4 linked regions of the Bombyx mori genome follow. The protein of the gene in region 2 purifies or fractionates together with the protein of the main gene of each other region. This does not show direct contact. Links are inferred from orthologs where the notes say so. Each region holds a gene or a part of one and is shown on either strand. Other genes may lie near its edges.

Region 1 (6,264 bases), on a different chromosome or scaffold from region 2:
GCGGCTACAACTACTACGGCACCGAGCGCATGTACAGCGGCGTGGACGGCCGCGAGATGACCGCGGACATCTTCTTCGGCGTCATACACTACCAGCGACTCCGGCACATGGTCTCCGACAAGTGGCAGGTGGGATGCGGGAATCGACGTCCTCGACATCGGGAATTTACTAAAAAAAAAAACTCGGTGCATGTGTATGAAGTGAAACTTCTTTTGAGATTTGTAGTATTGTGGTTTTCTTCGTTTTTCATCCTGAAATCAGACCGCTCTTGTAATAGGGAATGCTGTGTATAATAGATGCGTCATCTTATTTATATTAATTTATATAAAAATTTTACTTCATTAAAATATATGACACTACACGTTACTAACGCTCGCGCTGGCCTGTAACAGGTATACTGCGCGCATTCACTCTCGCTCTGTCTCTTTCTAGCAACCTTGTTGGAAGTCGCTTTAGAAGTTTCACTTCAAAAAACCAAAAAAAAAAAGCTTTATTTAGAATCCCTTCTTTTACTATATTGGTGGTGTGTGGTCGGTAGAGGCCCGAAACGTTCGATACGTTGGACTGACCAGAGCTGCACTACCCTCGACATCACAGTTCACGATGCTCTACACTCGGCGGCAGATAGAGGCAAATAGCGTGGAATGGTCCGGAATAAACTCTTGTTGCGAGGAGGTCACGACCCTCGGTATTGAGGAAACCGAAGCAAGAAGAAGGTCAGAGACAAATCTCTATGGAGAGACCGTCTAGTGCCGTCGGGAACAACATCCCGGTTTGAAGGGTGGGGCGGCTGTTATACGGCGGTGTGTGTGTACAGGTCCGCACCACCGGGCCCGTGGACGCGCTGACCCGGCAGCCGGTGAAGGGGCGGCGGCGCGGGGGCGGCGTGCGGCTGGGGGAGATGGAGCGGGACGCGCTGGTGTCGCACGGCGCCGCCTTCCTGCTGCAGGACCGCCTGCTGCGCTGCTCCGACGAGACAGAGGTCGGTGACGTACTGCTTGCTCTTCATATCGATACCTCACCGACCTAACTTTACTTTACCTTAACTTTTAATTTAACCTTTAAAGAAATATGACTTTCTAAAACGATACCGTAGATTGTAGGATTTTTTTTTCCTACCTATGCTGGGTTTTTTTTATTGTTTGGCTGTGTGAACGAGCTCACAGCCCACCTGGTGTTAAGTGGTTACCGGAGCCCATAGACATCTATAACGTAAATGCGCCACCCACCTTGAGATATAGTTCTAAGGTCTCAGTATAGTCACAACGGCTGCCCCACCCTTCAAACCGAAACGCATTACTGCTTCACGGCAAAAATAGGTTAGCCGGTGGTACCTACCCGCACGGACTCACAAGAGGTCCTACCACCAGTAATTACGCAAATTATATTTTTTTGTGTGTAGCGTGTTTTAATCTCAGTATGTACTTGAGTTGTGCTGTAATGCGACGTGTTAGCGTCAGTACTAAGCGTGTGTGTGTGTGCGGCGCCAGATGGCGGTGTGCACGTCGTGCGGCAGCGTGGCGGGCGCGCGGGGGGGCGGCGCGTGCGCGTGCGGGGGGCGGGCGGGCGCGGTGCGGGCGCCGCACGTCTACAAGCTGTTCGCGACGCAACTCGCGGCGTTGCACGTCAACTGCAGCCTCAAGTGCGTCGACAAAACTATACAACAATAAATCCGAATTGTAATTAAATACATTGCCTGGTTTTATTTCAAACGAGCTTCTAATTCCCTAATATGCACTGATATTTGAGGGCAAAGAAAACATTTTAAAATTACATTTACAAAGAACATAAAGACTCTTTATTAAAAAGTTTTCTTCAAGTTCACCAATACAGATTAACTAAAGAGATTTAAAAAGGGTAAGCAACAGAAATATAATCTATGTATCAAATGACATTTAAAGCAAACAGGGGACTTTTTGGCGGGAACGCGAGGAGTGAAGTTGTGTGATTTGTTTTATTTTGTCTATTTAGTGTTTCTTCGGGTTTAAATGTGTAATAATGGTGGTTTATTAACTGTTTAATATGTGTGAAAGTGCACAAATGTGGGAAAATGAAACAAAGCCGCTGGACGTAACTTCTCGGGATCCTACAAAAAGTCCACTGAAAAAATCTTAGTAAATGACCACCATTTTACTGAGTTTATATTTCATCCCATATCATTTCATTTAATTTCATCCCAGTTGATTAATGTCTCAAATTAATCATCTTCATTTCATTTCATCCCATAATATCATTTTTCATAAAATTGAGAATATAAATTAAAAGAAGACTTGACTTAAAGATCTCAGTTACCAGGTCATAAAATCCCTTAAAAAAATAAAGGAAACAGTTTTATTAAAATAGATAAGTAAACAATATTAAATTTGTTTTTTTAAATGTACCATTCTGTTTTTAATAAAGTTTAATGGGTAGACAAACTCACAAACTACAAGTCGAGGGAACTTATAGATGTCGACGTTGTAGACATGAGTTCGAAGTCAACTGTGTTTTATACAAGGCTATGTTATGAAATAATTACTGCTCGTATGCTTTCTGAGGACTCCACTTGTGATATTTAGATCTTATTTAATTATAGATTTATTTTATCCCAATATATGGTCGCATCTCTAATACAGAAAAGTGCAGTACTAAATTGTTTAAAATTTATAATCTTTTTAAATAAAATAATGCACAAAGTATAGTGTTATTTCACGAATCTCTACTTCGGTTAAATTTTCTTTAACTGAATTCGTGGTACATATTGTATCTCGATACGAATTAGGTAATAATTATTTTTACTTTTTTTCGCATCACTCGATACTCGATTCTAATTCCACAAAACAAATGAGCATTGGCCAGATAGTATATGTAGATTTGTTAAAAAAAAACATCGTTTGTATAGTACTAAGTATTTAATCTATTTTACGTTAAAAAATATGGTGGGTATTACGTTCTATCAAGTGTATAATCTATGGTTCTATCTTTCGTTTTGACATTTCTCATTCTTACTCTATGTATGTTTTATACAGGCCAAGGTAATGCGCCATAACAAATTGAATTCTTAAATTAAAAGTGGAATTGACAGATGCATCGGGCGACGCTTAGTATTTGATTAAAAGTAGGGTTAAAAGAAATAACTCCAAGATAGCAGTTTTGTTGGTCCATAAAACCGTCTGAAATACTTTATTTTTAAAGGTACAATATCTTAACACCAATAGTAATTAAATTCTACATTATTCGACTAATCTTCGTCCATGGCCACACTCTCGTCTAATTCGGACTTCTTCTTCTTCTTTTTCTTTTTCTTCTTGGCACTGGCCTCGGCGTCAACAGCCTTCTGAACTTCGTCCATAGCTTCCTTCATCACTTCAATATTCTTTTTGGGAATATCACCGGTCTCATAGAATTTCAGACGGTCTTCTACTTGCTGACGGAGTTTTTCACCAAATACAGCTGATTGCATTTCTGTAACATTTCAAGAGTTATTTTGAGTCTTTCCAAAATAAAATATGTATATCATTCTTCTATGGATGGGAAAAAGGTCCCACCAGCTTTTGAGCTGTTACTATATCGCATAAAAAAAATACAATTTTGTCTGAGAATTTAATAAAGAATACATATCGACGCTTGAAAGGCAAACGTGACTAAGCGACAATGCGTGAACTTTACAGTAGGCTAATTTAAAGTTGAAATACCTGAAAAAAATTCTATTTTAACGAATCTAGCTGTAGGATTGAAATGATTTTAATAGAAATATATATATTTTTTGCACACCGAATATGGTTATTGCCTATCGTTTATGTACAAAGCAATTATTGTCGCTTAGTCGTTTGCCTTTCAAGCGTCGATATTGAAATATGTATAAACTTTTTTAACTTTTTATCGATCTATCTAAGTACATATTTTTAAAATTTTCCTTTTTTTATACAATTATATAGGTAGTTTATGAAATCTCAGTAAGGCAATGTAGCGAACATTTAAAAACTGCCATAATTAATTACTTATGACAGTTACTGGATATAGCAATTAATATAGCACGACCCTTATTACCGCAAGTTATTTACAATACTGACGGTAGATCACAGTGTGCCTAGATATCTTTCAGATAAATTTGTTGCTTGTGAAGGCTTGGTGGTAAGGCTCAAGAAAAGCTGTTAATAGAAAAAAAAACGTAAAACAATATCGTTCATTGTTTAAACTTTTATGACAATTAAGTTTTCTAGTCAGAAAAATTTAATTACCAGAGAAACAATCGATCCTGGATGCAATTGAGCACTTATTGGCCAGATATCTGCTGATCCGACCTTTGTTCTTCAGTCCGGCACGTCCAATGAACGTGGAGTGGTATAGCAGACCATATTTTGGAGTATTCGAACGTGTCTTCAGAGCTCGGAAGAGAGCTTTTTCTGCACCTGAATTTTGTAATAAAATCATTTGTATAGAAAATTGTTATCTTACAATAGGGGAAATACAACAAAAATGTAAATCATGTTGGAGATATTTTCAATATTTGATATTTTATACTTATTTATTCTTAGTAATGGTTATTAGAGAAATTGTATTTATTATAATTACTAGCGACCCGCCCTCGCTTCGCTTCGGAAACTGTAATTTATTATTGATTTCTCCACTATTTAATGGATGTTATGATACATATAAACCTTCCTCTTCAATCACTTTATCTATTAAGAAAAAACGCATCAAAATCCGTTGCGTAGTTTTAAAGATTTAAGCATACATAGGGATATAGGGACAGACTTTGTTTTATACTATGTTGTGGTTATCAGTGTATATTTAAAATTGTATGTTGATGATCAGCTAGACTTGTAAATTGAAAAATGTGACCAACTTACCCAATATCTGCAATGTAGATGCGGGATACTTGGCAAGGTTGGTCAGGGAGCCAGCCTTGGAGATCAGCCTGGCTCCAACTTGATCTCCAACCAACGTAGACAAATTAGGTGCTACGGAGTTCATCTTACTATGCAGGTATTCTGAAATCTGTTTTCTGTGGGGACACAATGTTAATTGAAATTATTAGTTATTTCTTGATGTTAACAGATTTTCAATAGGTCCTTTTTAAGATTGAAATTAAATGACAATTTCGAATCAAATAAGACCACATTGGACTCCAGCATCAATATCGCTATCCACTGCGCAGATAGGATAGAATGGAGGAACATAGTTCTAACAACAATGTTTCGTAAAGGTCACAACCCTCAGCACTGGGGAACACAATGCAAAGAGAAGGAGGAGATTTAAATTATTGATAGCATAACAGAGTAAAATAGTGAACAAGTAACTTTTTAATTTCTTTTAAATTTTTATCCACATGATACTCTTATAAGATTTTAAAATATATGCTATCATGAATCAACAAACAAAGTATTAAGCATCTATTTAAATTTTAAATAAACATTATACTAACCTATAATTGCTGAGTGCTACTACTCTGCCAGCAAACATTTGGATGTTAATCAAGTCAACTGGTGAAATATCCATTCCCATGGACATTTTCGAGGCATCTATGATAGCCTGCGCCTTCTCGGAGTCTCCCAGGATCTCAGTGAGCGGTTCTAATGACTCTTCGCACAGGGTCTTCCTATCTTTTATGAACTCGGCGCATTTTGTGTACAGGTGATTTTCAGGAACAATTGACACAAGCTCCGGGAAGTGATAGGAATACCATTCTCTAGAAACAGTACAAAATTAGTAAGTCTACAAGATTTAGTAACAACATTTTCACAATATTTTATATTTTTGTACTAGTGGTACTAATTTTTGTACTCTTGGGAGTCCGCACGGGTAGGTTCCACCACCCCGCCTATTTCCGCCGTGAAGCAGTAATGCGTTTCGGTTCGAAGGGTGGGGTTGCCGTTGTTACTATACTGAGACCTTAGAACTTATATCTCGAGGTGGGTGGCGCATTTACGTTGTAGATGTGTATGGGCTCCAGTAACCACTTAAATGCAGGTGGGCTATGAGCTCGTTTATCCATCTATGCAATATAAAAAAAAAAACCTCACCTTATTCTCATGGAGAAAGTGTTAACATCTTTGTCAAGTTGATCGAGCAGGGCTATTGATTGTATGATCATGTTGTCCACTCGGTGAACATTGAACTTGACACGAGCTCGTGAGTATGAGTGGCCAAGACCAAGCTGTGCCACACTGCATGCTTTGAGGGTAAGGCCTTTGATGAGCGAGTGGAAGTGATAACGTATGCCTGTTTAAAGAACAAAGAAAACTTAGTATTTTCACATTTGTCGTCTTAATTCTGACAAAT
Region 2 (7,945 bases):
AATAAATAAACACTGCTTTAAAAACAACACTTCCCTTAACATCAAGAAGTCGTCGTGACCTTAACGATAAAGTCGTCCGGTGCATTCGTGTTGAGCGATGCACCGGGGTTCGAATCCCAGCCCGGGTACCAATTTTTCTAATGAAATACGTACTCTACAAATATTCACGATTGACTTCCACGGTGAAGGAATAACATCGTGTAATAAAAATCAAACCCGCAAAATTAGAATTTGCGTAATTACTGGTGGTAGGACCTCTTGTGAGTCCGCGCGGGTAGGTACCACCGCCCTGCCTATTTCTGCCGTGAAGTAGTAATGCGTTTCGGTTTGTAGGGCGGGGCAGCCGTTGTAACTATACTGAGACCTCAGAACTGATATATCAAGGCTCGTCCACTCATCTAAGCAATAAAAAAAAAAAACATTAATTGAAAATTACCTTTTTGCATTTTCACCTTTCATTTTCTTTGTTTGTGGCTCAGCTATATTCGACTCTGGCTCCAAAGTTCTTTTCTGGGGGCCACTGACCTTGGAAGTTACATTATTAGAAATGGCATCTGTAGACTGATCTCCTTCGTTTGTGACAACTGTTTCTTCATCTGCACCTTCGGTTTCCTTATCATCATCATCTATAACTGCCTCAGGCTAAAAATAAATAAAAATAAAGTTCACTAAATATGTAAAATGGAACTATTTCTTGAACTACTACTGAGTCACCAATTATACTATACTGATAAGACTATTGTAAAATCTCATTTCTTTTAAATTGATTCTTTCTAGAAGAAATAATAGAAAGCTTTCCCTTCTTTTGAGACATCAATTTCTTATTGGCAAAGTCCCCAGTGTAAATTCATATTAGATGGACTGTAAGACCATTTAGAGTAAAAAACAAATTCAGGTTAATTTAGTAGGTCATTATTACGATGGTACTTCATAAAAAACTTACAATGACATTGGAGAATTTCTTTAATTTAGCGACAAAGAATCCATCCATATTATGTGTGTGAGGATAAAATCTTCTAGTCAATTTTAATGATGGATGGAACCTATGATGCCTGTATTTCATAAAACCTTCAGTTCCAAAATCAAGGCCTGTGGGAACCAATTTCACATTTCGTCTCTTCAATGCGTAATTTACAACCCATTCATTTTCTTCAGGTAAAATAGAACAAGTGGAGTACACAATATACCCGCCCGTACTTGATTTGGCATTACAACAATCAATTGCAGCTAACAATAGCTGCCTCTGCAAATTAAAACACCTTTGTATGTCCTTCTGGTCTTTCGTAGTCTTTACACTGGGATCTTTAGCAATTACCCCAGTACCAGTACATGGTGCGTCAAGCAATACCCTGTCAAACCCTTTAATAACTTCAGGGAATTGTCGACCATCATAATTGCATATAACAGCATTGACTACACCCAATCTGTGGAAATTTCCCACAACTGCTTTTGTTCTTTCTTTGTTTGCATCATTTGCAAATAAGGCACCAGTATTTTTCATTATAGCAGCTATATGTGACGCTTTCCCACCTGGAGCAGCACACATATCTAATATTCTCTCATTTTCTTGAGGGGCTAATGCCATTACTGGTAAAAAACTTGATGCACCTTGTAATATATAGTGACCAGCTAAATACTCAGGCGTTGCACCAATAGGTACTGTGGAACTATAAATAACAAGGCCAACCTTGCTCCATTTGCCAACTGGGTCCAAATTGACTCCTCGATTAATCAATGCCTGGGCTAAATCTCTTCTTCTAGTTTTGAGACTGTTAGTTCTTATCGTCACAGGTCTAGCAATCTCACTTGCTTCCAAAAACTCCACTAATTCTTGTACAGGAAATATTTGCATAAGAACTTCCATCAAAAACTCATTATAACTATAATAGGTACAAAGATCTTTAAGTAATAAGTCTGTGTATTCACATCTTGAACGCCCTTCCTCTTTTAATCTATTAAATTCTGTCAAAACAGAGACTACATCTTTGATCCTTTGTTGTACATCTTGAAGGCTGGTAGGATTCTGTAGCTCTTCTTCTGAAGGGAAAGCAAAAACATCTTGTTTTGATATATTCAATTGCATTTCCTCATCTGCCAATTTCTTTTCCTCCTTTTGTTTCTTCTTCAGCTTCACATTTGCTTTTTCAATAGGCAGCATATCCTCATCATCACCATCCTCATCAGATTCTTCTTCACTTGAATCAGAATTATATCCTGCATTGCCACTATTTACAGATCCTTCTTCTTCTGAACTTGGATCCGCCTCCTCTTCATCAGAATCTTTGAATAGATCATCAAGAGTTCCCACCTACAAGTGTTTAACAAATCAAATTATCTTCTGTGATAAACCATTACTTTATTTTATTGCGTGGACAAGCTCACAGCCCACCTGGTGTTAAGTGGTTACTGGAGCCCATTGACATCTACGACGTAAATGCGCCACCCACCTTGAGATATAAATTCTAAGGTCTCAAGTATAGTTACAACGGCTGCCCCATCCTTCAAACCGAAACACATTACTGCTTCACAACAGAAGTAGGCAGGGTGGTGGTACCTACCCGTGCGGACTCATGAAAGGTTCTACCACCAGTATTATTACAATGTATAGCACTCATTAACTATTTAGGAGAAAGTTGTAAGATTAGTTTTACCTTATACTTTTCACTGACAGTTTTTGTTTCTTCTTCATGCTCACTTTCAGCTTCAGAGTCCTGCTCCATCTCTGAACCCTCATCTTGATCACAAATGTCACTGTCTGAATCTTTTTGTTTTTTCTGTTGTTTAACCTTCTGTTTTGGTTTCAGCCATTCTTTGTTGTCATCAGAGTAACCTGGAATATTACATTAACCATTTTATATTGCTTCATTTGGGTGCATTAACTACACGAATTATAGTTGGAAGTCATCTTCAGACAGCTATGATAGAACACAATAGAATAATAAAGAACAAAGATAAAGAAAAGGAGTACTAAAGGAAAAATACTACAACTGGAGATAGAAGATGGGAAAATAACATAGGTTAGCTGGTACCCTTTGCATTACTCACAATAAGATCATAGAGGTTTAAAAAGCAAGCAACCAAACATTCAAAAACAGGAATTTGAGAAAACCAAGAACTTTTACTGATGGTAGGACCTCTTGTGAGTCCGCACAGGTAGGTACCACTACCCTGCCTATTTCTGCCATGAAGAAGAAATGCTTTGAAGGGTGGGGTGTAGCCTTTGTAACTATACTGAGACCTTAGAACTCATATCTCAAGGTGGGTGGTGGCATTTACGTTGTAGATGTCTATGGGCTTCGGTAACCAATTAACACCAGGTGGGCTATGAGCTCGTCCAGCCATCTATGCAATAAACAAAAACAAAAAAAGATGTATTTTTTTTTTTAATTGGTCAGCTTTACCTTTTACAACTGGTTTTTTAATGTCTTCGTCATTTGTCTCAATTTCTTTAGCTTCATTTTTCTTGCCTTGTTTTATAGCTTTTCTTTTTTCAACTATTTCAGCCTTTTTTTTGGCACGTTTTGCGGCCCTTTGCTTTTGCCTGTGAGTCAGTTTTTTCACCTGATCTTCAGTCTCTACTAAAATAGGAAAACAAAACTATTATGAAAATATAAAGGTTGACATGTGATAAATGAGTCGACTATTATCAAAGCCGGCATTGTGACTTTTGGACAATTATTGGTAAATCAGAAAAACGAATTATTGACTTTGTATTCCATTGGCAGTCAGAAAACTCTTCTGAACGACATCTTAGATAAATAACAGGTTAAGTATTAACCTTTATTTAATGCAGGTTTTGAACCGTATTCTTTGAAGGAGACGATTATATTCATGATTGAAAGTTTACTGGTGGCCCGAAGGCCTTTCCAGTTTCACCAGGACAGGTGGGCGAGCAAAGGCTCAGCCATTATATTCAAATCAATCTGTATTGACATATCAATAACATTTTTTTGTCCAAATGCACAGATTGCCACCTTTGATAATAGACGACTCAAATATACAACATGTGTGTGACAATGTGGACTATAAATGGTCAGTATTTATTGAATAAATAATCCACAATGCTAAAAGCAGTGCTAGGGTAAAAATTGGGGAACTGCCTAATCATTTAAACTAACTATAATTTTGAAATGTTCGTAGTTCGAGAACAAATTGTAGATTTGAATTTTTGGCAGAAAATAACGGGGTGGTGGATAATAATGTCAATTTCTTAGTTATTTTTAAAAATGTAATAAACTTGAAATTAAGATTGTGTTGATTTGTAACAAACGATTATGTGGAATACTCACATAGCTCCTTTCTAAATACTGGATCGGGCTGTTTTTTTGCTTTCCTTCCAGGACCTTTTTTCACTTTTTTCGTCTCATCAAATTTCGCTTTTCTACCCATTTTCGACAACTAATTTTCCACTTCAATTAATTATTAATAACTTGATTATGTACCTACTTGAAAAACACTGCAAAGTTCACACGTGCTGGTAGGTTATATTTTGATTGATACTTTGATACATTCAATTTATTATCTATGGGTTGGTGTCATTTTTACAGATTACCGTAAAATGGGGCGATTAGGGACAAATTCCAACTTTATGAGCAATTTTAAGGTAGTTGTTGATGTATATAATGCTATATCAGGATCAAAATGATTGAGTCTTGGGGGCATTTTTGTTGTCTAATTTAAAATTATGCAACTAGCATTCCAGTTTAAGCAAAAAATGCAAAAATAGGTGTAATCCCTATTTACCCGAAAATTGCGGTTAATTGGGACGAAATGAGAAATTTGCTAGGGTTGGCACTACTTTTATTTTTATATATAGTTTTAATTTATTTATTTATTTAATTGCACCAACAAAGTGATCATCAATAAAAAAAATTGAAAAACTGACAAAAGTACATGGCAGACATCACCTCAATTATTGGTGCAATCGACAGTGCTGATATTTCTATCTGGGTTAAGAGATTAGGTGTGTCGGTTATTCCATGGATTAATCAGATGAATACCCCCACTCTGAACAAATATTAAATATTTTATTAAGTATTACTTAGACATTTTTGTCCACCTTGAGATTTCATTAATCTTGTTACATGTCTCTGCAAAATCAACTTACTTATATTAAATTGCTTATCTATTTCAAATAAAGACTTATTCCCAATTTCGCTTCGAATAAACCAGATTTTTACCAACAAATATAAAAAATATTGTTATAACTACATAGACAACCCTACAAACCTGTACCTATTTATACTTAGGTAGTTTCCATTTCACGTATTCTCATCCCAATTGACCCCTTTTTCGTTGTTATTTGTACCTAAGACGTCCCCAATATCCCCAAAAACAACAGATTTTTACATGTATTTTTATTTAATCAAATACATTAAAACCAATAACAACTGAGACTTACTTTTAATATATATGCTGGTTCAAACACTAAATAACGTTTATAAATCATAGTCGTCTTCTATTATTATCAAATAAATAAAAGAGAGCAAAGTTTCTAGCACTAAAATAATTACCACCACAGGAAGTTAATTTGAAACGCGATTTTTTATAAGTTAGCAGCTATTATCATGCATATTCAGAGTTGTTTTGTGAACTTTCAACATTCTACTATTAAACTACAAAAAATGGAAGATTTTGAAACGAATATAAAACTTATATTGAGCGTCGAAAGATTTTCCCGGTTTTTTCCCGATTCGCCTCTCAATCCCTAATCGCCCCATTTTACCGGTACTTATCCATTCACAGTCACACGTTATATTTCTTTCTATGGTTTATAATTATCAATGCATATTAATATATGGGGCATTAAGCAATAGTTACCGGAACTCAAAATCCCAACCCGTATCATAGTTAAAATGCTACATGCAACAGAAAGTCAAAAACTCAATCATTATATATTGTAAATGGACTAAATAGTAAATCCTGGATGGTAAATCCTACAGAGGACATTGCTGCTCATTCTACGGTAAATGTTTTCTTTTACTTTGATTTCTTAATTTTATTTTCAGTCAGTTTTATTTAACATTTCAAACTACACAACTTTGATCGTTACATCAAAAATTGCCCTTTTGCCCATGGCGCCTATGCAATGAACAAAACAAAAATTATCTATTTGTTTTTTTGTGTAATATCGCATTGGTAGGACTTTTTGATGGGAACGCGAGGAGTAAAGCTGTGTGAACTGTTTTATTTTGATGTGAAACATCTATAGCCACACGTAAAACCGATTTCTGGCGTGGCGACACGTCGCCATGCGCAATCGACTGTGCGATTCTCTCCCACTCGATCCGGCGTTAAGCCATCTCTCTCAGATATCTATAGTGTATACTCCGTAGTGTATACAGTTTTGTTTACTACAGTACCCATAACCTGTGTTTTACTTGAAAACAAATTATTTTTTCGATAGATTTTATTTTATCATTATGACATATTTAGTTCCTATCACAATCTGTTCATTTCTGCATATTAATTTTACCAAATAATGTCGATGTTTCACGTCTGCCAGGCGTCCCGTGACTGCTCACTTTTTTTTTGTTAATTTTGTGTTTCTTCCTGTTTAAACGTATATTAAAAGTGGTTTATTAACTAATTAGAATCTATGAAAGTGCACAAAGTGAGAAAATGTAACAAACTCCCAGGACCTAACGTCTCGGGATCTCTCAAAAAATCTCAGTAAATGACCACTGTTTTACTTGTTTCATTTAATTTCATCCCAATTGATTAATTGGATAACTGAACTTCAGTTTATTTCGCTCCATGATAATATAATTTTTCATATAACACTATTTACAAAGCTTAGGCTGTATGGTGTGATAGTTTCGGTTTTCTAGTTGGAAAAATGGAACTAGGTACTACTACTATTGGATTGCCGAGACTTTTTGAAGTGAAACTTCCTTATCGGCGTTGGAAAAAAATTTACCGTCACATTTTTCGGTTACGCGTCACTTTTTTCCGTTACGCGCCATCTGTTTTGTATTCATGTCTATGATAATAAAATCCTTTTGTTTAAACTTTATCTAATTTAACTTTTTTGTATTCATGTCTATGATAATAAAATCCTTTTGTTTAAACTTTATCTAATTTAACTTTATTTAACCAATTTCTAGAAAGTTGCATGTAGATCATTTTTCGAAAAATAAGGCCATAAACAAGTTTCACTTCTTACGTGTGTACACTAGTACACGCACACATTTTTTATTTGTTTTAATGTGTCTATTTAGTTTTTTTAAGTTAGTAAGCCACCGTACAAATTAATTTGCGTAGCTTCTCGGGATCCTTCAAAAAGCCTACTGAAAAAATCTTAGTAAATAACCACCATTTTACTGAGATTATATATCAACCCATATCATTTCATTTAATTTCATGCCAATTGATTAGTGTTCCAAATCAATCAACTTCATTTCATTTCATTTAATATTATCATTTTTCATAAAATAAATGTTAAGATTAGGCTATATGGTTTGATACTTTTACCTTCCACTTGGAAAAGTAGACTACTACTAGGAAATTTGGCAGTGACAACTGATTATTATTGACGTGACGTCACAATTTAGCAAAACTGACTACACGCGTGAAATAAATTGCAAAGTATTAAATCAATCAGTGTGAGTGCAACTATTCCCTTGAAAATGACTAAATATAAATGTATAAACAGTAATAAATGCTTTAGTCACTATTAGAATTAATACAATGATTATCTCTCAAAGTTGTGCCGTAGGGCGATACATTTTTCGCAAGAAAAATGTAGTTTTCAGGTAACTAACGTTGAGAATTTGTTGTTTATTTTAATTTCTTATTATTTATGAATTTCCAAGAGTTTTCATCGATTACAATAATGCATAACTCTTTTATCTTAAATATTTTCTCAGGAAACTCTTGTCTTCCTATAGTTTTCAGGGTCATTACGTAAATAGACAAGGTAGTGCACTATGTCATTGCCAAGGCA
Region 3 (7,917 bases), on a different chromosome or scaffold from region 2:
AAGAAACTACGAAGTTGTCTGTATGTACCTTCATAACCTTAATCTGTGAACTCTATGAACCTCTATGAACCGCTAAGACCGGTAGACTAATTACGCGATTCCATTTTTATTATGAGTTATGTTATAGTTTATTATGACTGTCCAAAAGATTTGAAAACACGGGTTTGTAGTAAGTAGCTAAACATTAGAAGCTTCCATTAATAAACTTTATTATAATTAGAATTTGATGTAGATAAGTAGGTACGCTTAACGACGAATTATGTAGGTTATAAACTGATTTACAGTATTACAAATTTTACCTTCTCCTTCTAAATGTTGATTGTGAAGATTTTTAATTCTTCGTTAGTGTCTAGTCAAATTCCATAGAAACAAATGTAATTAAAGCAATAGAAAAAATACAGACTTTTATTTTATTAAATGTGTATGGTTGGCCAAACAAGGTAATTTTGGAGGTGCTGTCTTTGTTAGATTATAATTAAATTTAGTTACATGCCAGTAAAGTAATGTAGATGACAGATTGAATTACGGATTTACGGCTCAAGACCGATAGTTGAAGTTGTGTAGAGTGCGGGCTCCAGTATTGGCCTAAAACTAAGTCGGATAGTCTTCGAAACTGTCTAGAGAAATAAAAACAATATCCTGACTCTTTCTATATTAATGAATTTCATACCAAACTAGCTTTTGTCCGCGACTTCGTCCGCGTGGAATAGTTACTTTGCCACAACGCTAAAATTCGATGCCTCCAATGAACACTACTCTAACTGAAAATTTTGAAATTTTCGTTTTTCACGCAAATCGCTTCACTATTTTAAAAGTATTACAATTAATCATTATTGATGGGGTTCGAAGCAAGAGTAAATCAGCTAGTTACACAAAAAAACCATAAATATATCTGCAATAATAAAGATTTTATCGACTTTTTTCGTTTAAACGCTCCTCCTGTAAATCTATGAATTTAGAGTTAGCGTAGTGTTCATTGGAGGCATCGAAATTTTACCTGCGACTTCATTTACGTAGAAAGAAAAAAACGATTTAGAAACATTCTTTATTGGTATTCCGTTTGTATTGGTCTTAGCGTATAGCCTATAGCCTTCCTCAATAAATGGGCTATCTGACACTGAAATAATTTATCAAATCGGACTAGTAGTTCCTGAGATTAGCGCGTTCAAACAAACAAACAAACTCTTCAGCTTTATAATATTAGTATAGTAGATACCTCGAAATTGGCTTTTTTTTAATTTCTTTTATTGCTAAGTTGGATGGATGGACTCACGGCCCACCCGGTGTTAAGTGGTCACCGGAGCTCATAGACATTACGCATGTAAATGCGGTCACCCACCTTGGACATGTATTCGAAGTCTCAATTTTTAAGTACAACGGCTACCCTACCTTCCAAACCAAGGTAGGATGGTGATACCTACCCGTGCGGGCTTACAAGACGGCCTCACACCAGTAATTACACAAACTGGTTTCATTTTTATTACACGATGATATTCCTTCATCGTGAAGCATTCATGAACATTTGTTAGGTTAGTACGTAACTATTTCATCAGAAAAATTTGTACATGCCTGCGGGACTCGAACACTGGCATAGTCGCATCACTCAGTGCAGAACAGTGCTTCGCAGAACCTACCGCCGGATCGGAAACGCGACCCGGAAACGACCCGCGACGCGAAAAGATCCGACGAGAAACTCTGTGACTTGTGTCTGTGGGTTAATTTACTCGCCTAGCCCTGCGCCGCAAGCGACAGTTTCGACGAGAATCACTCGATACGAGAGTATTGGAGACACCTTGTTCTTTTAGGCCACGACGACTTCACTCTTGTTACGTTCAAAACCAAACATATTTTTCGATTTAAAACAATGAACGCCTCATTTTTAAGGGTTTTATTAATAGTTAAGGAAAACAAAAAAACAAGTGTCAGTATTTTAGTTTTTATTAGTAATACATTCTGTAAGGCTTATATCATAGTTCTATCTCCTTTTCCGTCCAGTAGATTTCTTATTTGGTGCCCTTTTTCCCTTTCCTGCTTTAGGTTTCTTGGCTGAGAAATTTGTTGCATTGCCTTTACCTTGAGTTTTACGTTTTCCTAAGCCGGGTTTCATATTTTTCTTTTCGTGTGATCTCCTAATGATAATACAAACAATAGAAATCAGCTCATTTACTTCGAAGTAATAAAATAAAAACTTTAAAAAAAAAATTCTGATTATATCATTTTCAAATTTACAATAAAATAAAAATAATTTACTTACTTGACTTCCTCTTCATTTATACTTTTCGCTACAGCTTTATCCATATCAATTTTTGGCCTCTTACTCAGTATATTATCAAGTAGATTCAGGTTGTATTCTTTTTCTGCTGCCGGTGTTGGTATAGGTGCTTTACGTTTCCTCTCCTTGCCTGGGATTAGCTCATGTACACCTTTACCGCGTGCTTCTTTCTCTTTGGGTAATTTATCTTGGAATTTTCCAAGAGAAGCCGTTGATGCTTTTGCTACACTTGCTGCTGTGGATAACTGGAAAATTATGAAAAATAATTGTAGATTTATGCATTCATATATTTATAAAATCATTTAAATTATTATCTTTAAACAATAATGTAATGGATAAGCAAAACAAGATGAATGTAATAGTTTAGCAATAAAATTGCAACAGTTAAAAAGTTGTAGTATATCTAATTCTAACTTAATTACAAACAGCAAATGCTGCTTGGCTGTAAGAAAGATCAGGTATGCTACTTTGAGATCATCTAGAATAGAAAAAGGAAAATTGTCCTTTCATTGAATTAGACATGTATTTATTAAAGTATACTATTATCATTGTATAAGATGTCTAATTTGAAACTGAAAAAGGAAAAATTATAATTCAGTACAATATATATTTTTCTACTTGATCCTACCTGTGTGGCAGAAGCTTTATCTGAAGTGACAGGAAGCCCCACCCTTGGTATTTTAACCTTTTTGGCTCTAGCGAGATTCTTAAGTCTCTGTAATTCATTCTTTGCAACCTTTTCTGATTTTTCACCGGCTTTCTTTTCATACATATCTGTCATAGGATCTAAATTCTGTGGGACTTCTATAAGCCAGTTCTTCTCTTTTTCAGCTGCAGTTTTCTTGAAACTGATGATACAGAATTATATAGTCAATTATAGATATAGTTGATTGCCGACAATAATAAACGGACAATGTGTTTTACAACATCCTGGCTATTGGTTTGACTATAAAATACAGATTTTAAAATGATGATATCAATTTTTAATTTCTGCCTAAAAACTTTTGTAAATAAGGTTTTTATGGTTTGTGTTTATAGTTTTCTAGACAACTTTCATTATTCTACTATTGAAAACTCACCCATATAAAGGAACCCATTTCTGCAGCTGTTCATCCCATTGAAGTTTGTCTTTCTTTTTCTTATTAATACCCTTGGCTTTTGCGAACTCTTGCCATTTAGTTAATGGCTTAGGTACAGGCACTGGCTTGGCTCGGGGTAGGATTGTCGTAGGTTGTGGCAATCGAACTACTATGGCCTCTTCGATTCTTTCAGTGGGAAGCTCCCATACTTTATTCAGTAGTAGCTGAGCATTGTCACGGGTCAATGCAAGTAAATATGAATCTTTGTTTGTCCTAAACAACACATAAAATCAATTTAATTTGATAACAAAACATGTGCTGTTAACTAAATTTATGTTTAATCCTGAAATTAATAGTGACTATGCGTTTGCTAAAATGAGATAAGATGAAGACTTACTTCAGCGTTTTTATGTCCAAATCGTTTGTGTCAGAGGCCAATAGTGAACCTAGGTCGAATTCTAATTCCAAATGTTTTTCGACCGTTATTGGTTTATATTTATCTGCTTTCTTTTGTTCCCTTTCTAATATCTCATTTACAATATCCATTGTTATCAGAACACTTCCTTTTTACACATTAGAATTAACAAGCTTATTTGACTTGAGCTAATATTTTCCTTGCTTTACTTTTGTTGAAAAATAACCTCAAAATGTATTTTTTTTTTACAATTTAATTACATATATTTATGATTTCGTAGTTTTCTGGGCAACCACGTTTTGAACTCTGGCATAGATAATAAATATTTAACACATGTCATCATATTGGTAGCTTATTGTAGTAGATAATCTATGCACGTAGAATAATTATTTTAGAATTTTTATGTACATACATATATATTGAAACGATGGAACTCAAGTTCATTTTTATTTTATAATCTATAAATATTTATGTATTCAGTTCTATTACCGCGCATCACTGTACTGTACAGTAACTAAAAGGTGTAGGGGCTTCGTTCCCTTTGTATCACCAGCGAGTTAATAAATGAAGATTATGGAGCATGTCCAAACAGGAACAGGTATAGTGATATAAAGTATAAACGAAATGTATTATGCATAGCCCTCTACCAAGGTTTAATGATAGATAAGACATAAACATAAACGTTACATAGTAACTTTTTAATAATCTGTAACTCTGCCTCAACACTCGCGTATGACGTCGCACTGTGAAGAAACACCATGATCTGCGCCAGAACTGTGTCCCTCCACACTCACAAAGCTTCACAGCTCAGCCTTGTTCGCGATTATGATCGACGACGACGTGATTTCTGCTGCTGCTGTGTATTCTACATACACTTCACTTTCTTTCTATACAATCTATAGCTCGACTTAAGTGATTCTTTATTTTTCTTTAACTCTGACTCAGTTACAGGTGTATTTAAGATAGCACTTATGCGTGTCCAGGCATCATGAACCTTATTCTCATTTTTGTGGTCTTGATGTTTCGGCTTAGGTTTATGGCAATAAATGAGAGTCAGTTCCAGATCATTATTCCACCATTTATATTAGGATCAATCACCAACGCACGCATAACCACTCTACGATGTCCTGTACGCTACTGCGGTAAGCTGCGAGTGTGGATACATTCACGTTCGCGTGCCGCAAACCCTTTGTCGCGGGCCATAAAACCGACACAGATCGGGGAGCGACGCGCGAACGAGAAGGCGTGAACAACATCTACACTCGTGAATTCGCAGTTGTCGCGTTCGCGCCGCGAGTGTAGAGCCGACTTGACGCAGAGTAGGAAGGAATACCGTACTATAGCCATATTAGCCATGGAGTTAATAAGTTCAACTCTAGCTCTATGATTGTAGCCATAGATTATACACTTAAATTGTAGCGTAACTAGCGTAGCATTATAAACTCTAAAAAAAGAAAAATATCGCTTAACTGACATTTTCAATTAAAATAAATGTTTTAATTATTCTAATGCTCGTAGGATTTGTTAACTTAAGATTAAGTAAGATTAACTTGTTAAATTAAAGATTAAACACTTAATATTTGAGTTTAGTTTATTATTGTGTACAAAAAGCAATAAATACATTACCTAAATAAACTGAATTTCAATGTCAAGAACTAAAACTAACCCAAATGGTGGACATAAACAAATATTTAGAAATGCAACTTGAATTAGCGAAAAAGCAAATTGAGAGGAAAAATAGTCAGAAAGAAGATGTATCAACTAAAAGCAAATCTGCTGCTGATTACATATCGCAAAAACAGGCAAAGACTCTGTCAAAATTTCCCCACAATCAAAAAGTAGATGTAAAAACTACTGTGACATCAGGGACTTCAACTGAAGGACACCTCGATGACATCGATTTTGTACCTTCCGATGAGGAAGACGACAGTATCCATAATTTTCCGCTTACTGCGTGTTCTTCTCGTACCAAACAGAATATAAACCGAATTGTTGACGACGGTGATATTAAACAATACAATTTAAGGGTAGAGGTTTGGCGTGAAGGATTAAATACTGTGAAAAGCGGTACATATGAAGGATGCACGTTAACCGCTGACATACAGTACATCCTGGATGGTAATAAAGATAGCGATGAAATGCATGAACTCCAGAATGGTCTATTAGTACCAAAATATATTTGGAAACAGTTATATAAATTTCAAAGAACTGGTGTTAAATGGCTTTGGGAGTTGCATCAAGTGGATTCTGGTGGATTGTTAGGTGATGAAATGGGACTTGGTAAAACAATACAAGTCATTGCATTCCTAACTGCCCTTTCAAAAACCAATTTAGGATCATGGGGTGGTCTTGGTCCGAGTATCATTATCACACCTGCAACAGTTATATATCAATGGGTATCTCATTTTCATTATTGGTGCCCCCTGCTCAGAGTAGCTGTACTGCATCACACTGGCTCTCATGCTGGTAATCACCATAAACTATTAAGGGATATACACAGTGCTCATGGAATCTTGTTAGTAACATATGCAGGCATAGTAAAGTATCATAAAGAACTTAATGCTTATAGTTGGCATTATTTAATTTTGGATGAAGGACACAAAATACGTAATCCTGATACACAAGTAAGTAAAATTGTAAAAAAAATCCAGACACCACACAGATTGTTAATAACAGGCTCACCAATGCAGAACAGTTTGCAGGAACTGTGGTCATTATTTGATTTTATGAGGCCAGGTTTGTTGGGGACATACAATGCATTCATAGAACACTTTGCAGTTCCAATCACTCAAGGAGGCTATGCTAATGCTACTGAAATACAGGAAGCTACTGCCATGGAAATAGCTATTGCTTTGAAAAATATGATCACTCCTTACATGCTGAGGAGAACTAAGGCTGAGGTACAAGGACATATCAAACTCCCAGAAAAGAATGAACAAGTTCTATTCTGTTCTTTAACACAAGAGCAAAGAGATCTTTATATGGGTTACCTTATGAGTAATACAGTGAGAAGCATCTTAGACAAAGAAAATAAATTTGGAAATCCATTAAGAGCGAGGCTACTAGTGGCTCTGTCAACGCTAAGGAAAATATGCAATCATCCTGATATTTATCTCTACGAAGCTCAAGAAGATGAAGAACAGATAGATGAAGAGATATTTGGCCATTGGAAGAGATCTGGAAAAATGACTGTTGTTAATTCATTACTTAAAATATGGAAAAAACAGGGACATAGAGCTCTCATATTCTCTCAGTCAAGAGTAATGCTGTGTCTGTTAGAACAGTATTTACAAAATCAAGGCTTTACATACCTCAAAATGGATGGTACAGTTAATGTTGGCCAAAGGCAAAACTTGATTAAAACTTTTAATGATAACACTGATTATTTAGTTTTTCTTTCCACAACTAGAGTAGGTGGCTTAGGTGTAAATTTAACTGGAGCCGACAGAGTGATAATATATGATCCTGATTGGAATCCTGCAACAGATGATCAAGCAAAGGAAAGAGCATGGAGGATAGGCCAGTCTAGAAATGTAACAGTTTATAGATTGTTGTCAGCTGGGACTATAGAGGAAAAGATTTATCAGAGGCAGATATTCAAACATTTCTTGAGTAATAAAATTTTTGTGGACCCAAATCAAAAGAATTTTTTAACCACCAGTACATTACAGGGACTGTTCACTCTTGAAGAGCTTAACCGTGAAGGAGATACTGAAACTGCATCAATTTTTAAACATACCAAAATTATCAATAAAACCAATAAGAATGATAATGACTTGGATATTTCATCTAAAACAAAGTTAGAAGCCATGAAAAGATTAGCAAAAGAAATAAGTAAAAAAATATCAAAAGAATCCATGAAGGGAACACAGGAAAGTGATCCACGTGAAGAATATAAAAAGAAAAGAGAACAATTATTATGTCCACCTAAAGTGGAAGAACCAGATATTAATTTAGTTGATGATAAAATAACCAATGTAGCTTTTGAAGATGTTTTGTCAGAATTAGATATTGTAAAAATGCATGCAAAGAAAGATTATGAAGAACAATTGTTGAAAAGTGTACTAGAAGATAATGAACAAGATATTAAAGAAGTAGATGAAGAGAAACCTACCAACATTGACAACTCTCAACTTGAAACTAATGAAAGT
Region 4 (8,167 bases), on a different chromosome or scaffold from region 2:
ACATTTTTTGGAACTATCGAACAGTTGTTTTCGTTGTTTTCTTCTTCCACTCATAGATGGAATGTTTTACTTTCGGTCACTGGAGCGCTAGAGCTGCAGCGGTAACTATAGTAAAAAAACATTTTTTTTACATTTTAAGCGCTTTGGAAAAATTGACATCTGAAGCAAGGGCGGATCCAGCTTTGGCGCCAGGAGGGGGTCACATAGTCAAATTTAGATGCGTTCGTTCCCAAACGTTTTCCATTATACAAAGTTATTATATTATAATAAATTAATTAAATATTGAAGGTATGTAGTTACATAAAATATGTATGGTGACAAAATATATATGTCGGCACACGTCAGGGATGGCTGAGCGGTAGGTTCCGTCATCACTCGTATTCGATTGAACTCAGTTTAGTCAATAAAACTTTTCAATAATAATTATTGAAACTCAACACACACAAGTTTCACAATGACAGGATAAACCGACAGTTTCGTTGCACATACCGACAGACCGACTGACTGACTGACTGACTGTCAGAGACTCACTGCTGAGACGGACGGAATCACTGTCTGACACGAATGCCACGACTCTGTCCACGTACCGCTATTTTATACTGTGGCGTTACGGTGTCTACCCTTCATTTTGTGATATTTATCAAAACAACATTTCATCATTTAAAATAATAATCAAAACCACCGTCTTAACATTACTAAAAGTCGTTATCCACGACAACTAAAAGTCGTTATCCACGACATATAAATAAAATCATTATATTCAATTAGTGGTCCACCTAAGTCCTGGACCCAGCTCAGGGGGTGGTCATGACCCCCATGACCCTCCCCCTGGATCCGCCATTGATCTGAAGAAGAAAATAGTAAAACGCGATCAGATGCTGGAGTATTACTCAATTCTATGCAATCTTTTTCTTTTCTATGTTACCTTCATTTATGGGAATCCGTTCTTTTGGAAATTAATGACGCTCAAAAATACCTGCAAATAAAGGGGTTAAATGTCCACCAATGCCATATAAAACTAAATTCTTTGCAAACACATTTAATGGAACAAAGAGATACGCTAGTACAAAACGCTGTTATAGCTGCCAAAATAATTTGTGAAGAGATGGAAATATCGACAGAGCGTCGAGTTAGAAGGAGAAAAAATATGAGTGGGGAAAATTCTCAAGACGTGGGGCTATCCTTAGAAGAAGAAGTACGAAGAGAAATGTTTTCATCTATGGACAGAATTATAAAGGAAATAAAAGAACGCTTCGATCAATTGCATGGTCTTGTAAGAAAATATTCGTGTATAATACCGTGTAACCTACTAAATGAAGAATTTGAATGTCAAATAAATGATTTGATCGACATTGATAAAGAACAGTTCCATATTGAAAGAAAAAGGATCCAGGTTTTTATGGCTGTATCTACACTAAAAGAAGAGGTAAAACATTGGAAAAACGGGGAGAAGGGCCCTCTCGACCTGCTAAAATTTATTCAGCAGTATAGGTTGGAAAATTCTGTTCCCAATATTGTAATTTTGTTAAGATTTTTCTTAACAATTTGAATCAGTGTCGCTAGTTGCGAAAGAAGCTTCTCAAAATTGAAGTTGATAAAAAATTATCTTCGTTCTACAATGAGTCAATCAAGACTACAAAATCTTGCAATATTGTCAATAGAACAAGAAATTACAAATAATATAAATTTTGAGAGCATTATACACGATTTTTCTAGTATGAAAGCTAGAAGAGTAGATATTATATAAATATGTTTACGAGTGCATACAAATAAGTCTAAAAAATTTACTCTGTGGATTAATTAATATTGATTAAATAACTTAATAATTTATTTATGTGCATTAATTTATAAAAACCACTATTTGATTGACTTATAATAGAAAGGGCGGCAGACTGGAGATCGCCCCGGGCGGCAAAAGTTCTAGGTACGCCACTGTGTACAACACCTACTTTATGGCTACCGAAAAGTTTATGCTTAAAAAGGTTACATATAATCTTACTCTATGGTTTATGCGAAGGATCCTGAGTTGTGTGGAGTATTATTTTCTATAGATGTACATACTTGTCAGTGTAAAACAAAGGTAGATAACGCGAATGAAAATAATAAACTCGTAATTTGAATCACAAATGGCGAATTTGTAAAGCAAGCGCGTCACAAGTATCCTCAGAGTGCGTAGACCTGTGCGTCTCTGATTTTAATTAATTTAAAACAGATGACTTCTTGTGATGTGATTCATCTTAATATGCCTTTCGCGGTATGTAAATAGCAAACAAAGGGAATCATATATTTCATTTGTTTTATTTTATATTCGAATACCTTAAATGTATATTTAAATTTAAAAAAATCATAATCGCACATTTATAATAACTTGTAGGAGTGTATGTACATAAGTTATCACCACAGCCGGTCTTGATTTCATACTTAAAGTTTATATAATTCATAACAAACTTTTAAAAGTTTAAGAGAGTCTGCATAGTTATTTATCTATTTACCATTTACTGCTTGCTTGGTATATTTAAAAATTTAAACGAATCAGAAAGATAATAAAGGATATGTACATATTTACAAAAAATACTTTTGACACTAAATTTTGTTTTTATCACGTGTTATTCGCTCACTCATTTATTTCATGGTCATTCAATGAAAACAGATGTTGAATGAAAAGTTAACTCGCCACCAATTTGTAAGCACTTAAAAGTGCTAAAAAACTATTTTAAGCAGTTATTTTTTCGAAAAGTAGCATACATTACTGAACTCGTAACTGTAATGAAATAAAAGTAACTACTCACCGAAACTTCCCACACACCGCTTCTCTATGAGAGCATAAGGAATGAATCACAGGAATGAATTGTAGTGACAAAGGCGCACTGAGTGAGATTATTTTGATGATCTCTGAATAATTTCGTTCAGAAATTCCAACATAAAGTATTTTAAACTTGTTTTTTTTTAAATACCCTATGATAGAAAGTCGCTTTGAGATTACGTTTCTTATTGACAATAAATGAAATTATCTTTTTCGAGTAAGATATTTTTTTGTGAGATGTATTTAAATAGTTTGGTCGAGGGGTATGTATAGGAGTCCATTTTCTACTTGTTGATCTCATTCGTTCATTACTGTCAAATTTATCATTTGACACTTCTGAATTGAATATCTAACCGTACTGTCAAAACTAGGATGGTTGATGTTTTTGGTAACGTTTAACTCACGTGTTTTTATTTTTAGAGAATATAATAAAATAATTGAAAATGAAAGTATTATCAGAAGATCGTACAAGAATATTATTCGAGAAGCTAACCAAATAGTGAGTATTTCTGAATATTCTTAGTAGAAATTTGGGCTACACAGCCACATTGTATTTATAAAACAACATATTTCTAACCACAATTTTTATTTATTTCTCGCATCGCTGGTCATGATTCCGATCTGATGGAAGATTCAGCAAAGCATTGTTCTTGCTGGGGCTAGAGTTGACAATTTTTTTGGGTTGAGCCTGTCAGCTCACCCACCCATTCACGTGTAGTTGGAATAGCCCAGTGGTCTACCAACGATTAGGTAAAGAATAAAAATAAAAAATATTAATAGTAATAAATATGGAGTATTTATTAGTTCTATAATTAATAAATAATAAACTACTTATTTATTATCAATTACCAAAATAAAGAGTACATACTTACTGAGTGTAAGGTGATTTTTGAGCCAGTAGAGGTAGGCACCTCCACCTCCACCTCCTGGCTATTATGATGCAAAGCAGCTATGCGTTCCATCAGTATACTAAATAATTGGAACTCAAGTCTCAAGGTGGGTTGCAGATTCACATGTCTATGGGCTTACCACTGAAACCCTAGTGAGTTCTTGTTTACTCATTTAAGTAAATAGAAAAATAAAGACATATACAAAGCCACATGTCAAAGTTGACATTTTCTTTTATTACATTTATGTCATACTTTATCTTCACACCTTCGTACCTTAATATGTAAGAAAGTTTTTTTTCTTAATTATCTTGTAGTTTACTGAATAGTCTAATTTGTTTAAGCTTTTTTTATTTATTTCTTAGATGGGTGGACGAGCTCACAGCCCACCTGGTGTTAAGTGGTTACTGGAGCCCATAGACATCTACAACGTAAATGCGCCACCCACCTTGAGATATAAGTTCTAAGGTCTCAGTATAGTTACAACGGCTACCCCACCCTTCAAACCGAAACGCATTACTGCTTCACGGCAGAAATAGGCAGGGCGGTGGTACCTACCCGTGCGGACTCACAATAGGTCCTACCACCAGTGATTACCGTGGAAGTCAATCGTGAACATTTGTTAAGTACGTATTTCATTCGAAAAATTGGTACCCGCCTGCGGGATTCGAACACCGGTGCATCACAACAACGAATGCACCGAACGCCTTATCCTTTAGGCCACGACGACGACAAGCCGTCGTCGCGCACGTAGTATACTAGTTTCAACACACTACTGTATTGTTTTGAAAGAATTTGGTTGAAAAATCCTCCATTTTTGACATGTTGCTGTGTATATAGGGTATATCGATAAGGCAACTTAACAATAGAAAAAGGTTTCAAAATAATTCTTTGATTCTAATTTAAACATTTGATTTTAGCATTGGAGTAAACGTTAAGTTATTAATAGACAGACCTGATGGCACATATTGCTTCAGAGAGAAGAAAGACAGAGTGTATTACATATCAGAGAAGCTACTGCATCTAGCACAGACAGTGAAGCCGGACAACTTAGTATCTGCGGGGACATGCTTCGGAAAGTTCACAAAGACAAATAAATTTAGGTTGCACATTACAGCTTTGACTTACATATCACCCTATGCGCCGTTCAAAGTGTGGGTGAAGCCGTCTGCGGAACAACAGTTCTTGTATGGACACCACATCATCAAAAGTGGTTAGTATTATAAGTTTTCTTCATAAGGGCTAGGATAACATAGATTAAACCTTCAACAGTGCAGTAACCGGATTGTGGAGGGACCAACTGTCATTTTAATTGTTTTAATTATTCAACTAACATGCTCCTTGTGTACTTAGAAATAGATTTAAAAATGCAGTGTATTAGTGAGGGTACTTGTTTTCCTTTTAATAAAAGGATTGCTAAGTGCGGGTTGCATAAAGACAGACACACAATAAACTGATTTGTTACCGAACACATGTGCTTAAGTTCATTATTAAATAATAAAGTATATATTTTACATAACCTAATAACTTAATTTTTTGTAGTAAAAATTATATAAGAAAAAATTTACAATGAATTGAAATTTTTTTAGGACTAGGCTGGTTGAGATTACTTTATTTCATGCTTAAAAAATACAATAGACATTTTCCTTGAAAGAGATAGCATCAATAAAAAATAATGCTATTACTAAATCTTACATTGAGGAAATGGATAACGTATTCAACGCAATAAACCAAGCAAACTAAAAATCTGGATGAGTGGGGTTAATACCGATAGGAGCTAAGTGGTTACCAAAGTTCATAGACATAGGTTCATCTTCAAACTGGAATGCATAATTGCATTGCGGCAGATATAGGCAGTCTGGTGATATTTATCTTTGCTAGGTTACAATATGCTGTACCACTGGAAAATTAAGGTTTGCAGTTGCTGTGTCATTTTATAATACTCAGAAAACCCTACTGCCCCCCCCCGCTCTCTTGTGTAGTCCTTAGTTAGCATTTATGATTCATAGCAAGAGATCAGAGGTGAGAAGGCAGATATAACACATTAATAAACAATTATTGGATATATATGACATCATCATTTCTCAGAGAGAATATTGTTAGGAATGTTTGATATGATTAAAGATTGAATATATTACACAAAGATAGTAATCTATACTAATATATAAATCTATATTGTTTTTTACGGATGTTCCGTTATAACTACTGAACCATGCATCTGATTTACTTGAAACTTGGTATCAATGTAGAAAATACATGTACTTAATGGATAGGCTAATATTTATATGAGTGTTAGACTCGCTACACCAGTTGCGGGGGCGTTAATGATGAGAAACTGTGGGGGGCGAGAAATAATAATGTTAATTTTAAATGCCCAGCGAAGCGGACGGGTACAACTATTTGTATAATAATACTATTAGTTAGCATTGTTATCGGTATCCATATTCTTCAATCAACAGTTCAGTATAAAGGATATTGTTTTATTTCCAGGCTTGGGCCGGATAACAGAAAATACACCGAAACATCAAGGTGTGGTGGTATTAACGATGTCAGATATTCCGATTGGCTTTGGCGTAGCTTCAAGAACGACGGCAGAATGTCGACACGCTGATCCTTTGGCGACGATTGTCTTCCACCAGGCCGACGTAGGAGAATATATACGCTCTGAGGATACGCTTACGTAGTAAATAATGAAAAGGAATCGGGTTCTTGTTTTATTTACAACAAAAAATGTGACATATGTTTTGTCAGTTAGTTTTATTTATTATAAAGAATATTTCAACCCAGTCATGCTCAAAGCTATTTCTAACTAGCTGACCCGGCAGACTTCGTAATGCCTCAATCGAGAAATAAAAGACCTAAACTTTTGTATAAAATAAACTTAAAACAAACAAAAGGAATCTGTCCGACGGGGGACACGAGAGGGAAAACAAAATTGTTATTTTTATTTAATTTCGAGCATTTTCATATTTATCTACCTTTTAAACCTTCCCTGGACTTCCACAAATAATTCTCTCGAGTTCTAGCGAGACTAACGAACAGCAATTCATTTTTAAATATTTTATAGATAGATTAGTGTGAAAAAGACCGATTGATATTAATCACTCGCCATATATCGTTGTTAAGTGTTATACGACAATCTCTTGGGGTATAATTTAAAAAAACCCCGGTATGTCTACGTGTCGATAGTATTCCTGACAAAAAGTAACTACACGTCTGAAGTTTTATGCATTTGTGAAACTCATCGATTCCCATATCTCATACTTTATCTTAAAATCCACAGTGGATGCCTAAAACAACGTAGATGGCGCCACTGTCAAATTTTCAAGTTTTTAACTTGCGCTGATATTGCATTTTCCTTGTCCTCGGTGTATTTATGATAATTCTTGTTAAATGAGTCGACTATTATCAAAGCCGGCAATGTGACTTTTGGACAATTATTGGTAAATCAGAAAAAACGAATTATTGACTTTGTATTCCATTGGCAGTCACAAAACTCTTCTGAACGACATCTTAGATAAATAACAGGTTAACTATTAACCTTAATTTAATGCAGGTGTTGAACCGTATTCTTTGAAGGAGACGATTATATTCAAATCAATCTGTATTGACATGTCAATAATTTTTTTTTGTCCAAATGCACAGATTGCGGCCTTTGATTATTATCAATTCTATTGACGACTCATTAATAATACGTAGAAACAGTTTAAAATAGTATTATATTTTTTACCAAACTGCCACCTTTTATTGCGCTTTTGAACTAATTTTTATGATTGGAAGTTTACAACCTTAGTTACGTAATTGTGTCCGTTCAATTTTCACGCTTTTGCCGTTCGAAACTAGGTAGCGCGCAAATCAAATCTTTATTGTATGTAAATCATATAGGTACTTATTAACTCCATGATGTAAATCTATATATTAATACGTGAAACAAAAACTTTGTATCCCTTTTTACGAAAATTGCGCGGACGGAGGAGTATGAAATTTTCCACACTTATAGAGAATATAGAGAAGAAGTGCACAATGCTAATATTTTTTTAAAGTAATGCATAAAAGATACATTAAATCAATAAAGAAAACATTACACACACTACATACTATGTATTTGACGCACACACGCATGCATACTATTTATTGTCAAACTTTTGTTCTTGACGTCTGTTGTCAAATTGAGATTAAATATTCTTTGTATTTGTTAATATTTTTTATAGTGTAGTCTTGGCGAAATTTGTGACTATAGAAGTGTACAAACTTACAATTCCAATTAATTATAGTCGAATTTCGACTACTCCGGGATCACTAGTTATTTTAAATTCTCGAACTTATGTCTTAAAACTATGTACGTACTTTCCCGAATTTAATGAAAGAAATAATTCAATTAAAACTCTACTTTTTATATCCTAAGTTTTAGTCAAAATTACCAATGATTTTGACGCACGTTGAGTGTTCACGATATCATTATTAAAAAATGACATAA

The links.
Region 1: the proteins of uncharacterized protein LOC101741314 (region 2) and nucleolar protein 56 fractionate together in Homo sapiens (co-fractionation; 3 studies listed by BioGRID and IntAct, with this or other methods). This does not show direct contact. The link is inferred for Bombyx mori from reciprocal best matches to the Homo sapiens genes NOP2 and NOP56.
Region 3: the proteins of uncharacterized protein LOC101741314 (region 2) and ribosome biogenesis regulatory protein homolog fractionate together in Homo sapiens (co-fractionation; 3 studies listed by BioGRID and IntAct, with this or other methods). This does not show direct contact. The link is inferred for Bombyx mori from reciprocal best matches to the Homo sapiens genes NOP2 and RRS1.
Region 4: the proteins of uncharacterized protein LOC101741314 (region 2) and 60S ribosome subunit biogenesis protein NIP7 homolog purify together in Homo sapiens (affinity purification with mass spectrometry; 3 studies listed by BioGRID and IntAct, with this or other methods). This does not show direct contact. The link is inferred for Bombyx mori from reciprocal best matches to the Homo sapiens genes NOP2 and NIP7.

What each region holds. Positions count from the first base shown.
Region 1 is NC_085132.1:2,377,619-2,383,882, forward strand, and holds the end of nucleolar protein 56, read right to left. Parts: intron 6,205-6,264; coding exon 6,006-6,204; intron 5,672-6,005; coding exon 5,408-5,671; intron 4,988-5,407; coding exon 4,833-4,987; intron 4,392-4,832; coding exon 4,221-4,391; intron 3,445-4,220; coding exon 3,221-3,444; 3' UTR 3,125-3,220; downstream 1-3,124. Other genes in the region: DNA-directed RNA polymerase I subunit RPA2, read left to right, coding at 1-128, 818-982, 1,491-1,670. UniProt on the Homo sapiens protein: Involved in the early to middle stages of 60S ribosomal subunit biogenesis. Required for the biogenesis of box C/D snoRNAs such U3, U8 and U14 snoRNAs. Part of the small subunit (SSU) processome, first precursor of the small eukaryotic ribosomal subunit.
Region 2 is NC_085116.1:6,475,917-6,483,861, reverse strand, and holds the start of uncharacterized protein LOC101741314, read right to left. Parts: upstream 4,546-7,945; 5' UTR 4,390-4,545; coding exon 4,290-4,389; intron 3,579-4,289; coding exon 3,402-3,578; intron 2,831-3,401; coding exon 2,652-2,830; intron 2,309-2,651; coding exon 944-2,308; intron 643-943; coding exon 437-642; intron 1-436. Other genes in the region: coenzyme Q-binding protein COQ10 homolog A, mitochondrial, read left to right, coding at 7,690-7,754, 7,869-7,945. UniProt on the Homo sapiens protein: S-adenosyl-L-methionine-dependent methyltransferase that specifically methylates the C(5) position of cytosine 4447 in 28S rRNA. Required for efficient rRNA processing and 60S ribosomal subunit biogenesis.
Region 3 is NC_085123.1:3,056,699-3,064,615, reverse strand, and holds ribosome biogenesis regulatory protein homolog, read right to left. Parts: upstream 4,302-7,917; 5' UTR 3,898-4,301; coding exon 3,749-3,897; intron 3,625-3,748; coding exon 3,352-3,624; intron 3,121-3,351; coding exon 2,901-3,120; intron 2,518-2,900; coding exon 2,255-2,517; intron 2,130-2,254; coding exon 1,976-2,129; 3' UTR 1,923-1,975; downstream 1-1,922. Other genes in the region: DNA excision repair protein ERCC-6, read left to right, coding at 5,437-7,917. UniProt on the Homo sapiens protein: Involved in ribosomal large subunit assembly. May regulate the localization of the 5S RNP/5S ribonucleoprotein particle to the nucleolus.
Region 4 is NC_085130.1:6,214,246-6,222,412, forward strand, and holds 60S ribosome subunit biogenesis protein NIP7 homolog, read left to right. Parts: upstream 1-3,068; 5' UTR 3,069-3,246; coding exon 3,247-3,302; intron 3,303-4,610; coding exon 4,611-4,903; intron 4,904-6,180; coding exon 6,181-6,374; 3' UTR 6,375-6,391; downstream 6,392-8,167.